Linked DNA regions of Canis lupus familiaris. The main gene of each other region encodes a partner of the protein of the gene in region 3 in a complex. Links are inferred from orthologs where the notes say so. Each region holds a gene or a part of one and is shown on either strand. Other genes may lie near its edges.

What was found.
Region 1: INTS7 (region 3) and INTS12 share a complex: the UniProt entries of both Homo sapiens proteins name them as parts of the integrator complex. The link is inferred for Canis lupus familiaris from reciprocal best matches to the Homo sapiens genes INTS7 and INTS12.
Region 2: INTS7 (region 3) and INTS6 share a complex: the UniProt entries of both Homo sapiens proteins name them as parts of the integrator complex. The link is inferred for Canis lupus familiaris from reciprocal best matches to the Homo sapiens genes INTS7 and INTS6.

The regions. Positions count from the first base shown.
Region 1 is NC_049253.1:13,355,137-13,358,792, forward strand, and holds part of INTS12 (integrator complex subunit 12), read left to right. Parts: intron 1-2,744; 5' UTR 2,745-2,818; intron 2,819-3,100; 5' UTR 3,101-3,109; coding exon 3,110-3,265; intron 3,266-3,656. UniProt on the Homo sapiens protein: Component of the integrator complex, a multiprotein complex that terminates RNA polymerase II (Pol II) transcription in the promoter-proximal region of genes.
Region 2 is NC_049243.1:595,084-598,739, forward strand, and holds part of INTS6 (integrator complex subunit 6), read left to right. Parts: intron 1-835; coding exon 836-962; intron 963-1,691; coding exon 1,692-1,834; intron 1,835-2,033; coding exon 2,034-2,265; intron 2,266-3,656. UniProt on the Homo sapiens protein: Component of the integrator complex, a multiprotein complex that terminates RNA polymerase II (Pol II) transcription in the promoter-proximal region of genes.
Region 3 is NC_049228.1:10,099,627-10,103,282, reverse strand, and holds part of INTS7 (integrator complex subunit 7), read left to right. Parts: intron 1-1,970; coding exon 1,971-2,069; intron 2,070-3,411; coding exon 3,412-3,597; intron 3,598-3,656. UniProt on the Homo sapiens protein: Component of the integrator complex, a multiprotein complex that terminates RNA polymerase II (Pol II) transcription in the promoter-proximal region of genes.

The sequences.
Region 1 (3,656 bases), on a different chromosome or scaffold from region 3:
AGAATAGAAACCAGAGAAGACAATAGAAAAAGGGTGAAGGGAAGGTAAAATAGAAAACTAAAATATAAAGAATAAAACACATAACTATGAATGTTGTATTTTAGGCCCAACTACTGTTTTCTCTGTGATGAAGGAAAGACTTGGAGCAAGGAGGTACCATTATTGGACAAAGCAGGGGGAACAAGGAACTGGAGGCTTCTATAAATTCAAAGTGCAGGTGGAATGGGAAGAAAGAAATGGGGCAAAAAACCAACCAAACAAAAAACCCAAAAGGAGGGTTGACCTGGTACCCTGAAGAGGCTTCTGGATCAGAAGAGTGGAAGAGATAGAATGATGGAAGATTATAGTCAAAAAGGAGAATAGTTGTAGCTAGTTTCAGGTTTCAGTGGCTGAAGATGAAGCTCCTGGAGGGCTGAAGATCCAAGTAAACTGAGTGCAAGAAGCTAGAGAAGATCATCAATATAGATGCAATTTTAGCATTGCCAAATATGAAGATAGGGAAGAGGAAGAAAATGAGCATGATTCCATACTTAGCAACTTTGAAGGTGCAGGTGTATATTTCAAGGAAAGATGATGATGAATGGTGGTCATGGAATGTTTTTCCAAAAACAGCAGTATGGAATTAAGTCTCCATAGACCTCTTTGCTCTTTCAATACAAAGTTAAAGGAACACCATTTGGGAGATGGTGGTAAAAAGGTGATGTCAAGGGGAAATAGCAAAGGTAAAAGGATAGAAGGAGCGCTTGAGAAAAAAAGTAGAAAAATAGGGGAATATATTGGTAATGATTGGGGGCTAGAAGATGATGGGCAGCTAGCAATGAAGTTAATGTGGGGAGCGAGAGAAGATCTGAGCTGATAGTACTGGGTGGCTTCTCAAGGGAAAGGTAGTATGTACCATAAAGCAGCCTTGATGTATACATAATAGGGAAAGGGAAACTAGAAGTTGCTAGATAGACAAAAGCAGTGGCCTTCAAACTTGTTTCATTATTCCATGTGTATAAAATTGAGCATACTTCATATATATGTTAGTTACCAATTATATGCATATACTACTATCATTCTGCATACTAAAAGCTTATTTTTTTAATTAAAAATTCTCACATTTTTCTTCCTGTATATTCCATTATGAAAACCACTGGGTTGGAGGGACATGTTAGTAATTTAGGACATGGGTACAAATCGTGTTCAGGTTTATAATTGCAGGGTTGTATAAAAAGAACTGACTCAAAGGTTCCAATTGGAATGTTAGTGTGATGATACTACTTCTATAGTTTTATAATCTACATGCTGACTCTTGTCACCTAATCTGTAATGCAAACCTTTTGTATGTGATTATGGAAATACATAACAGTAAACACTTCTGGTTGTCAGCATAGAATTTCAAGTAATGATTTTTCTAGCATATTAAAGGGAGTCTTCTAAGTATTAACCCTTTGGTCAGCCTCATAAAACACATTGTTCTGGGTGAGTAAACACTATGGTCTTTAGCCATAAAAAGTTAGGCCAATAAAAAAATTAGGCTGTATTCCCCTTGAGCACTCAGGAGGAATGGCAGGTTTATTCTTTTCATCATGGACATTTTAGTGGGGAATTGTTTTCTCCTGAGAATATGTATAGTGACCAGCCTATACCTGAGTAAATTTAAAAATAACCTTTCTGTACCTATTATCTATATGTGATGTATAGAATAATACAATTTTAAGAAGTGACAGAGGTTGTGTCTCGATTTTCATTAAATTACTAGTACAGCTATTTGAGATAGGTTATTTTTCTTTTAGTATTGGCTTTTGGATTCATGAATGATTCAAATATTTTAGTAGAGCACAGAATTTGACAATTATTCTGAGGCTATCAGATAGGTAGCTAATACTTTCTTGAAAACTTTAAAAAAAAAAAAAAAAGCGTAAGAGTGTCAGTGTGTGTGTGTATGTGTGTGTATTTCCTGTCAAAGTTGTAGAGGAATTGGGGAGAAGTAGAAGGGTAAGGAACAACAAAATTCATTTTCAGTCGGAACTTTCATATGCCAAGATTCAACCTACAGCAAGTTTTAATGGCTTTATAAACCCCTGAAAATGAGAGATTACTGTGGAATTTGCTGACAGATCCATAACTCTAACAGTGCAAGTGTGTTGCATTATTACAATATTAACCTGAAGGATAGAAGACAACTTCAAGCCCTAGAATATTGATCAAAGGATTGAACACAAAGTATACACTTTTATTTTAATAATTCCTTGCCTGGAGAAGTATTTGAAAAAGTGACACAAGAAGTAGAATCACACGATAGCATTGGTATTAACTGAAAACAAAACTTTTTAATGTTTTGTTTTGTTTTTAAGGAATTTCATAAGCCTTTGATGTACATCTTCACTATATTTCAAGCTTCTAATGACACAGAGCATTACCATAGGTCCTATGGGGAGATTTTATATCATATATATAAATATATATGTATAATTTTATTTATAATTTATAGTAGTTATGGTACCATTCCTCAGAAACCTTGCTAAAAATAGGTTAATGCACGAGATACCACAATCTAAGTGTGATCCAATAAGATTATCATTAGAATGTTTTCTGAGGCATTCAAGTTTGGAGCTGAGGACTAAGGAGATTAAAAAAATACATAGTTGAAATTAAAGCTGTAGCAGTGACCTTTATAGCTCATCACTTGGTGCTTCCTCTAACCATTGCCCTTCTGTGATACCTCATCCCCACCAATTTTTTTTTTCTTTTTTTGGCAGTGGAAATCAGGTTTGAGAGAAGAAATTTTGATGTCAGCTAGACCTAAACACATCAAATTCCTGTATACTGAACTCTAAGTGTATATTTTAAAACAGGAGGGGGCTCTGTGGCAGGGAAGAGTTTATCTGGATTTAAAATTTAGCCATGGATATGAATACCTACAAAACTGATCATGTTCTTGCTTCGGGGAAAAAGAATTTGGTAGGGAAAACAAAGACATTTACTTTTTTCCTGTAATAACCTTTTAGACATTTCATATTTTGTATCTTGGGCACAATATTGCCTATTATAAATAAAAGAATAAAATAGATAACTGTTCATTGTCTTTAATTCCCCCCTCCCCTTTTTTCTTCAGGTGTTTGCAATGGCTGCTACCGTGAACTTGGAACTTGATCCCATTTTTTTGAAAGCACTAGGCTTCTTACATTCAAAGAGTAAGGATTCTGCTGAAAAGCTCAAGGCACTGCTTGATGAATCATTGGCTCGAGGCATTGATTCAAGTTATCGTCCATCTCAAAAGGTACCTACATGAATAAAAAACTTGGGGGGTGAGTTTTGTAAGGCCAATAGTAGAATAGTATTAATATTTAGACCATCTCAAAACAGTCTCCTGGCCAAAATAATCTTTCCTTAAGGGTTGAAGGAATTATATTGTTTAGTGTTCTTTTCTTCCTTCATGCTTTCAGAGAACTGTTACACTACATAGAAAAGTTAGCTGGGTGGGAGGGATATTCTCTTCTACTAGTTTTTGTGTAGAGAAACCCACTTATTTACTTATTTTTTTTTATTTGATTTAATTTCTAATTCTTTAGGATCAAAACATTTTTTAAGCAACTGGCTGAAACTATAACTTATAATTATCCTTTAATGTTTTGTGGGCAAAAATCATGAAGTGAAAGGACAGGGATTTT
Region 2 (3,656 bases), on a different chromosome or scaffold from region 3:
GAATGGCTATACTTACTATATAACCAGCAGTTTTACTCCAAGGTGTATCTGTCTACATGAGAAAAACGAAGACAATAGCCATAGAAAGGCTTTTTATGCAAATGTTCATAGCAGTGTTCATAATAGCCAAAAACTGAAAGGAAACTTCATAAACTGGAAAATGGATAAACTGTGTTCATAGAATGGAATACTACTCTGCAGTCAAAAAGAACAAACTACTGATGCATTAATAACCTGGATGAATCTCAAAATATCATCCTTAGTGAAAAAAGCCTGATAGAAAAGATTTGATATAGCAAAATTCCACTTATAAAATGGAATGTAGGGAGACAGGAAGCAGGATTAGTGGATGCCTGGGGATAGGAAAAGGGATTGACTACAGATGGGCACCAAGAACTTTTTGGGGATGATGGAAGTGTTCTTAACCTGCATTGTGGTGATGGTTTCACAACTGTTTGCTGATATTCATCAAACTGTATACTTAAAATGGGTTAATTTATTGTACGTGAATGATACGTCAAAGCTGTGTTTCTTCTTTAAACTTTCAAAGGTTTTAAAATTTGGAAATTTGTTTTATAAGCTATTTACTTCTCTTAGCCTGAATATATAATAAAACCTTGAAAGATGTGAATTTGAGGTATTTGATTAAGCTCATTACCAATTTTGATCTTCTGGTTCCCAGGTGTGTTTAGATGGCATCATAATTCTTTATTCTATTTTGAAGCTAATTAGACTTAATATATCTTATTTCAAAACCTATGCTGCAGGCTAGAGGTTTTAGTCTCTTTTAATTCTATGTTGGAAATAAATTTTGTCTTTGAATGATTTTCAACAGGATTTGAAGCCACAGACATTTAGAAATGCATATGACATACCAAGGCGGAATCTTTTGGATCACTTAACAAGAATGAGATCTAATCTTTTGAAGAGCACCCGCAGATTTCTTAAAGGACAGGATGAAGGTTAGATCATGGTTTTAGTAATGGTATTTTTTTTGTGAATTTCTTACTTTATATTGAAAAAATATGGTATGGGAATATAACTTTTAAAGAATTATTAGTAGTATTACATTTTCTTTTTAAATTCAAACAAATGAAGTAAGGAGTCATCTCTGATTCTCAACTTTTTTTTCTATCATCACTGTTGCCTCAAATTCTATTCCCCCGAGGTGACAATCTTTATTAGCAGCTTACTTTCTTTTCTTTGGCTTAGTTCATGCATTCACATGCACACACAAAATCATTTTCTTGTGATACACTAGTTAGTATCTGGTGGTTTAGCTTGGATGGTCAATACGTGTCCTCTTCTTTCAACAATATCTGTAGCATGTAGTACAAATCAAGTCAGATGAGAATTTAACTCTTTGCCATCTCTGATATAAGCATTCCAACTATAGCTTTATATAAAAAGGATTATCTCTGTGTATGTCTTTCCTGTAAATTTTGCTATAATTCTACTTCTTTGGAATAGAGAGAAGAGACATTCCTATTCATGGTAATGTTAACACATCATTACTTATTTTATACACTCAAATGGACTACAATATTTTTGCTTTTAGAAGATAAAGTCAATTCTTTTAAATTTTACTTTAAAAAAATCTCAAAAAGATTTCATTTTAGTCACAATATTTATAATGACAACATATGAATAGTGAGGTTAACTTTTGTTGTTGTTCTCTTCTGTTTGAAAAGATCAAGTGCACAGTGTTCCTATAGCACAAATGGGGAATTACCAGGAATACCTCAAGCAAGTACCTTCTCCACTAAGAGAACTTGATCCTGATCAGCCTCGAAGGTTGCATACATTTGGCAACCCCTTTAAGCTAGATAAGAAGGTAAACTTGAAATGTTCCATTGTATAATTCATTTGTGGATTTAACAGTTCTTAATTTAACTAAAGTAAGCTACTTTTCTTGGTAGACTAATAAATGTCAACATAGTTATAATACAGTTGCTCTAATGGGGATTGGAATTAGTTGTACCATTTAAAAACTGTATGTAAATCTAGGGAAATTATATATTTTTTTGTTACAGGGTATGATGATAGATGAAGCAGATGAATTTGTGGCTGGACCTCAAAATAAACATAAACGACCTGGAGAACCAAATATGCAAGGAATCCCTAAAAGACGTCGCTGTATGTCCCCATTACTAAGAGGCAGACAACAAAATCCAGTTGTGAACAATCATATTGGAGGAAAAGGACCACCTGTACCGATGACTCAAGCACAGCCAGATCTTATTAAACCCCTTCCTCTTCATAAAGGTAAGAATTTAAAAACAAACTTTATTTGCTGCTTTTTGTTTCTTTTGTGGGGATGAGATTTTTGTAATAGATTGTGGAAGAAATTGATTGATAAAGCCCAAGAGTGTCTAGAGAAGATACTTGTTTATTTTAAATTAGCATGTGATCATTTTGTATGTCTTTTTAAAGAACATTTGTTGGACATTTCTTATGTTTATCATGCTTTATTATAGCTAGCCATAATCTAAATACCATTTATAAGTCTGTTAAATAAAAAATTCAAAATACCGTTTACAAGTCTTAAGTATTTCAAAATAACACTTATTAAAGGGGTATTAGCAATACCCACAGAAAGATGGTTTTCAATTTCAGGTTAATTCAACAACTAATTAGGGGCACCTGAGTGGCTCCGTGGATGAGCGTCTCAGGGTGTGACCCTGGGGTCCTGGGATCAAGTGTCACATCAGGCTCCCCACAGGGAGTCTCCTTCTCCCTCTGCTTGTGTCTGTGCTTCTCTCCCTGTGTCTCTCATGAGTAAATAAAAAAAAAAAATCTTTAAAAAAAAAACAATCAACTAATTATTAAATACACGTGCTATTATGAACAGTGCTAGGCATTGAGGTATCATAGTGAACAAGACAATAGTGATCTCTGCCTTTATGATGAGTGAGGAAAGATAGTCATTGAATGTTGAGTTAGAATGTGATGAATGTTATAAAAGGTGGTAAGATGATTTAACTTAGTTTGTGAGGTCAAGACCCTTTACTGAGGAAGTTATGTTTAAGCCAACATTTAAAGGGTGAATGGGAATTGTTTCACTAAAGCTGTGCATTTAGTAGTAGTGCTAAGCAGTATGCTAGGCACTATAATATGCTACAGTAGTAGTATAAGAAAAATATGTGCAAACAAATATACAAAAGAGAAGATTATAGGAACTGAAAGAATTCCAGTTTAGCAGAGGTGTTCAGAGTCAGATAAGGTGAGAAATGAAAGATAGGCTGAGGCCAGATCATGGAGGGCCTTGGAGGCCGTCGTAAAGATTCTAGACTTTAAAGACGAGAATTTTTTTTTTTTTTAAGATTTTATTTATTCATGAGACACACAAAGAGAGGCAGAGACACAAGAGGGAGAAGGAGACTCCCTGCGGGGAGCCCGATGCAAGACTCAATCCCAGGACCCCGGGGTCACACCCTGGGCTGAAGGCTGGTACTAAACCCCTGAGCCATGCAGGTGTCTTGACAATGAGAATCTTTGAAAGATTTTGAAGAGCTAGTGACCTGACCTGATTAGCATTTTATAAAAAACAGGCCGACTGTACTGTTTGGAATATTGTTTGGGAAGAATAAGAATGGATTTAGGGGAACCCTTAGTGAATTAATGATTTCCTTAAATATAGGTAGTGATCATTTATG
Region 3 (3,656 bases):
CAGTCCACACTGTCCCTGTAGGGAATTGTAAAATCTGCATCCATTCTTTTTTTTTTTTTTTAAGATTTTATTTATTTATTCATGAGAGAGAGAGAGAAAGAGAGAGGCAGAGACACAGGCAGAGGGAGAAGCAGGCTTCATGCAGGGAGCCCGACGTGGGACTCGATCCGGGGTCTCCAGGATCACCCCTGGGCCGAAGATGGCACTAAACCGCTGAGCCACCAAGCTGCCTGCATCCATTCTTCTAAAAGGGAGAATGGTGCCTCTTAGCCTGGGAACAGCCTGAGGCCATTTGGGGTCCCTTTTAGTCCATCCTTCAAAGAGGTGTCTCTCCTAAAATACTTTTGGCATCAGACGTCCACCACCAGTAGGATGTCCCTGCAAGTGCTTCTAAGATCCCTTATTGCAGGAGGATGAATAAAGTTGCATTAGCAGTTAAACCTGAAGAAACAGACCCAATGTATTTGAATCTGTGTTGTTGTTTTGTCAAGTAATAGACCTGCCATTTGTATTATGGGTCTATTGGGCACAAAATGTTCAACACCCTGAAACCAGTAAGGAGTGGATTCTTCAGGCGTGTAGTAATGTCCAGTGGTTTAAAACTGTTTACAACAGGAACGCCTGGGTGGTCCAGCGGTTGAGCATCTGCCTTCAGCTCAGGGCATGATCCTGGAGTCCTGGGATCAAGTCTCACATCGGACTCCCTGCATGGAGCCTGCTTCTCCCTCTGCCTGTGTCTCTGCCTCTCTCTGTGTGTCTCTCATGAATGAATAAATAAAATCTTTAAAAAATAAATAAATAAAACTGTTTACAACATAGACAACTAGGAGGCGCACCCTGCTTGGAATCTGGAGCTTAGAAGGGCAGCCAGCATAGTAGAATGCTTTTCAACCTGAGGGGAAGTAGACTGAGGAGGGGAAGGTAGACCACCAGGAATAGTTCTAGGTCACCCAAGGTTATAAGTGTTCTGATGGTGCTGTAACTTTTTTCTATTAAGTTGGTGAATCATTGGTAAAATAGAACAAAATCATTGAACTAAGAGTCAGGCAACCTAGGTTCTAGTTCCAGCTTATTCTGTTACCTGTGTCAGTGACCTGCATCATCAGCAAAATTGAGGACTAGACTGGGTGACCTTTGACAGTGTCACAGGTGTATACTCCCCTCCAAACTCTTCAAGTTGGATACATTAAGTTAAATATGTATAGCTTTTGTATGTCAGTTGTACCTCAATAAAGTGAAATAAATAAATACATACAATATCTTAGAACTCTTAAATGCTAGTTGTAGGACTCCTTTTACTAAGACTCAAAGGATTCACTGTAGTGATTCTCTTCTGCAGCTATGCTGTGAGTTTCAAAACTCAGATTTGTGAAATGGATTTCTGAAATAAGGTACCCTTAGTAAAATTTCAGAGTAATGTAGAGTTGGACTGTGTAAATCTGAATTCCAGTAAGTTTCCACCATTACTCACCTCTAGGGACCCATGGCCGCAAGGATGGGGAAGCCACTCTGTGGACATGGGATAGAACAGGCAGTGAGGTTCTTCATGAGATTTGGTGTTAGGCCTTGGACATCAATCTACTACTCTGGCTTCTTTATCATATATTCTTGATCCTTCTTTACCATATGAGATGACTCTATTGTGTATCTAAAATAATTATATAATAATATATCTAATAGCCCTAAGGCTATAGAAATGCAAAATTTGTACATTATTTGGCCTTAAGGATTTTCTTCTACATTTTATTTTACTGAGTGTACTTTAAAATAAAGTAAAAATCTGCAGTTGTACTCCCTGACATGAATGATTTGACAAAGATTTGGGTGTTATGCCCATTTCCTGACTGGGATGTATTTTTGCAATAATCTTACAACCATTTGTACTTTTTAAACTTCTTCCTGAAAGTACTGTTTGTTGATGAAATTTGGAAATTTATTTTTATTTAACTTAGTTTCTTTTTTCCTGCCAGCATACAGCATGCCTCTGCAATGCCATCATTTCCCTGCTGAAAGTTCCTCTTTCATTTCAGAGATACTTTTTCCAGAAACTGCAGTCTACCAGCATCAAGGTAATAATAGCAAGAATACAAAGGTTAATACAGATTAAAAACCCATTCATCTTCTGAAAAATATGTGGAATACAGCTCTGCTTCAGGATCTTACCTTTGGTTTTCATAAAACTTACACCCTTTAGTTATAAGTTTGTTCCTCCCTTTATCAGGTGGTTTGGTGAAGATAATAGGATTTGGGAGTCAAACCTTCTGCACTGGGTGGAAGAAAAGGGTGCAGAAAACTTCTGCAGAAGATTTGACTTCACTAGGTGCAGTGAAATAGATGTTTGGGTACCTGGAGCTCTGTCCCTTGTCTCCGAGAATAATCTGAGAGGTTTTCATCATAGTCCTCTAGAAGGATCTTGTGCTGAGTTCAGGTCTCATTGGGCTCTTTAGACCCTGTTTAGAATAAATCAGGTCCAGTAAAATATTACCAGCCCTACCTGTAGAGTGCTTTTGTCTGTGAATATCAAGTTTTGAGGAGTTGGCCAATGATAAGAGCTAGTATTTGAAAATATTTAAGCCACTCAAAATTCAAGGGCTATTTTTAATTCAGAGAATGGAATTGTTAAGAAAAAATGGAAAACTCTCCTCCAAAAGATTTCCTAGATTATCCCTGTTAGTAAATGTCTTCAGTGTACTTTTGCATATCCATTCGAATGCTTTTGATTTGACCTGAATATAAGGAAAATTGATTATCCTAGAAAAGATGTCTTAAGGTAGGATGTGTGTAGGGTTGGTTGATGCAGTGCTCGAGCATTATCAAAAAGACCCACCTCTTCCATCTTTTCATTTAGCAGAATTTGGACTTTCTGTAATTTAAGGGTACTTGGGATTTTTTTAATATGTTCTTAAATAAAAACTAATGAGAGGTTAAAAACTTCATTTGGTTCATTGGCAGAAATTGAGTTTTCTATCACTGTGACTTGGTCATATGTGTGATCCTAGAATTTTAAGTTCACTTGCCCTTGAATTTAATCTATTTAAAATTACATAGGAACAAAGAGAAGAATAGCTAGACATGCAGATTTATATAGTGCATTTCTCTACTGGAGTTGGTTGTCAAAGAAATGCCCCAGTACAAAAGTGAGGAAGACTAGGGTCCCTCACTGTTTTCTGATCCTCTGTTACCCTCACACAAAACTGGGGTTTGGGGTAGAAAACACAGTAGTATTTAAAAGAGGCATCAGGGAAAAGGAACTCTTGACTTTAAAGGTCTATTTGTCTGGCTGTCCCAGCTGTCAGCTTGTTAGCTGTGTGTGTCATGCTGTAACCTACAAACAACAATTAGCACAAACATGTTTGTTGGAAGAAAGCTTGTTCCTGCTGTTTAACATTCATTTCAATGTCGGTATTCCAGCTTGCTCTGTCGCCATCCCCACGGAACCCTGCAGAGCCCATCGCTGTCCAGAACAACCAGCAGCTGGCACTAAAGGTAGAGGGCGTGGTTCAACACGGATCTAAACCAGGACTCTTTCGCAAAATTCAGTCCGTCTGTCTGAATGTTTCTTCCACGCTACAGAGTAAATCTGGACAAGACTACAAGGTAATTTAGGAAAGAGGCAGAGTTGTGATATGGATTTTATCAGCTGATTCATGGAAGTT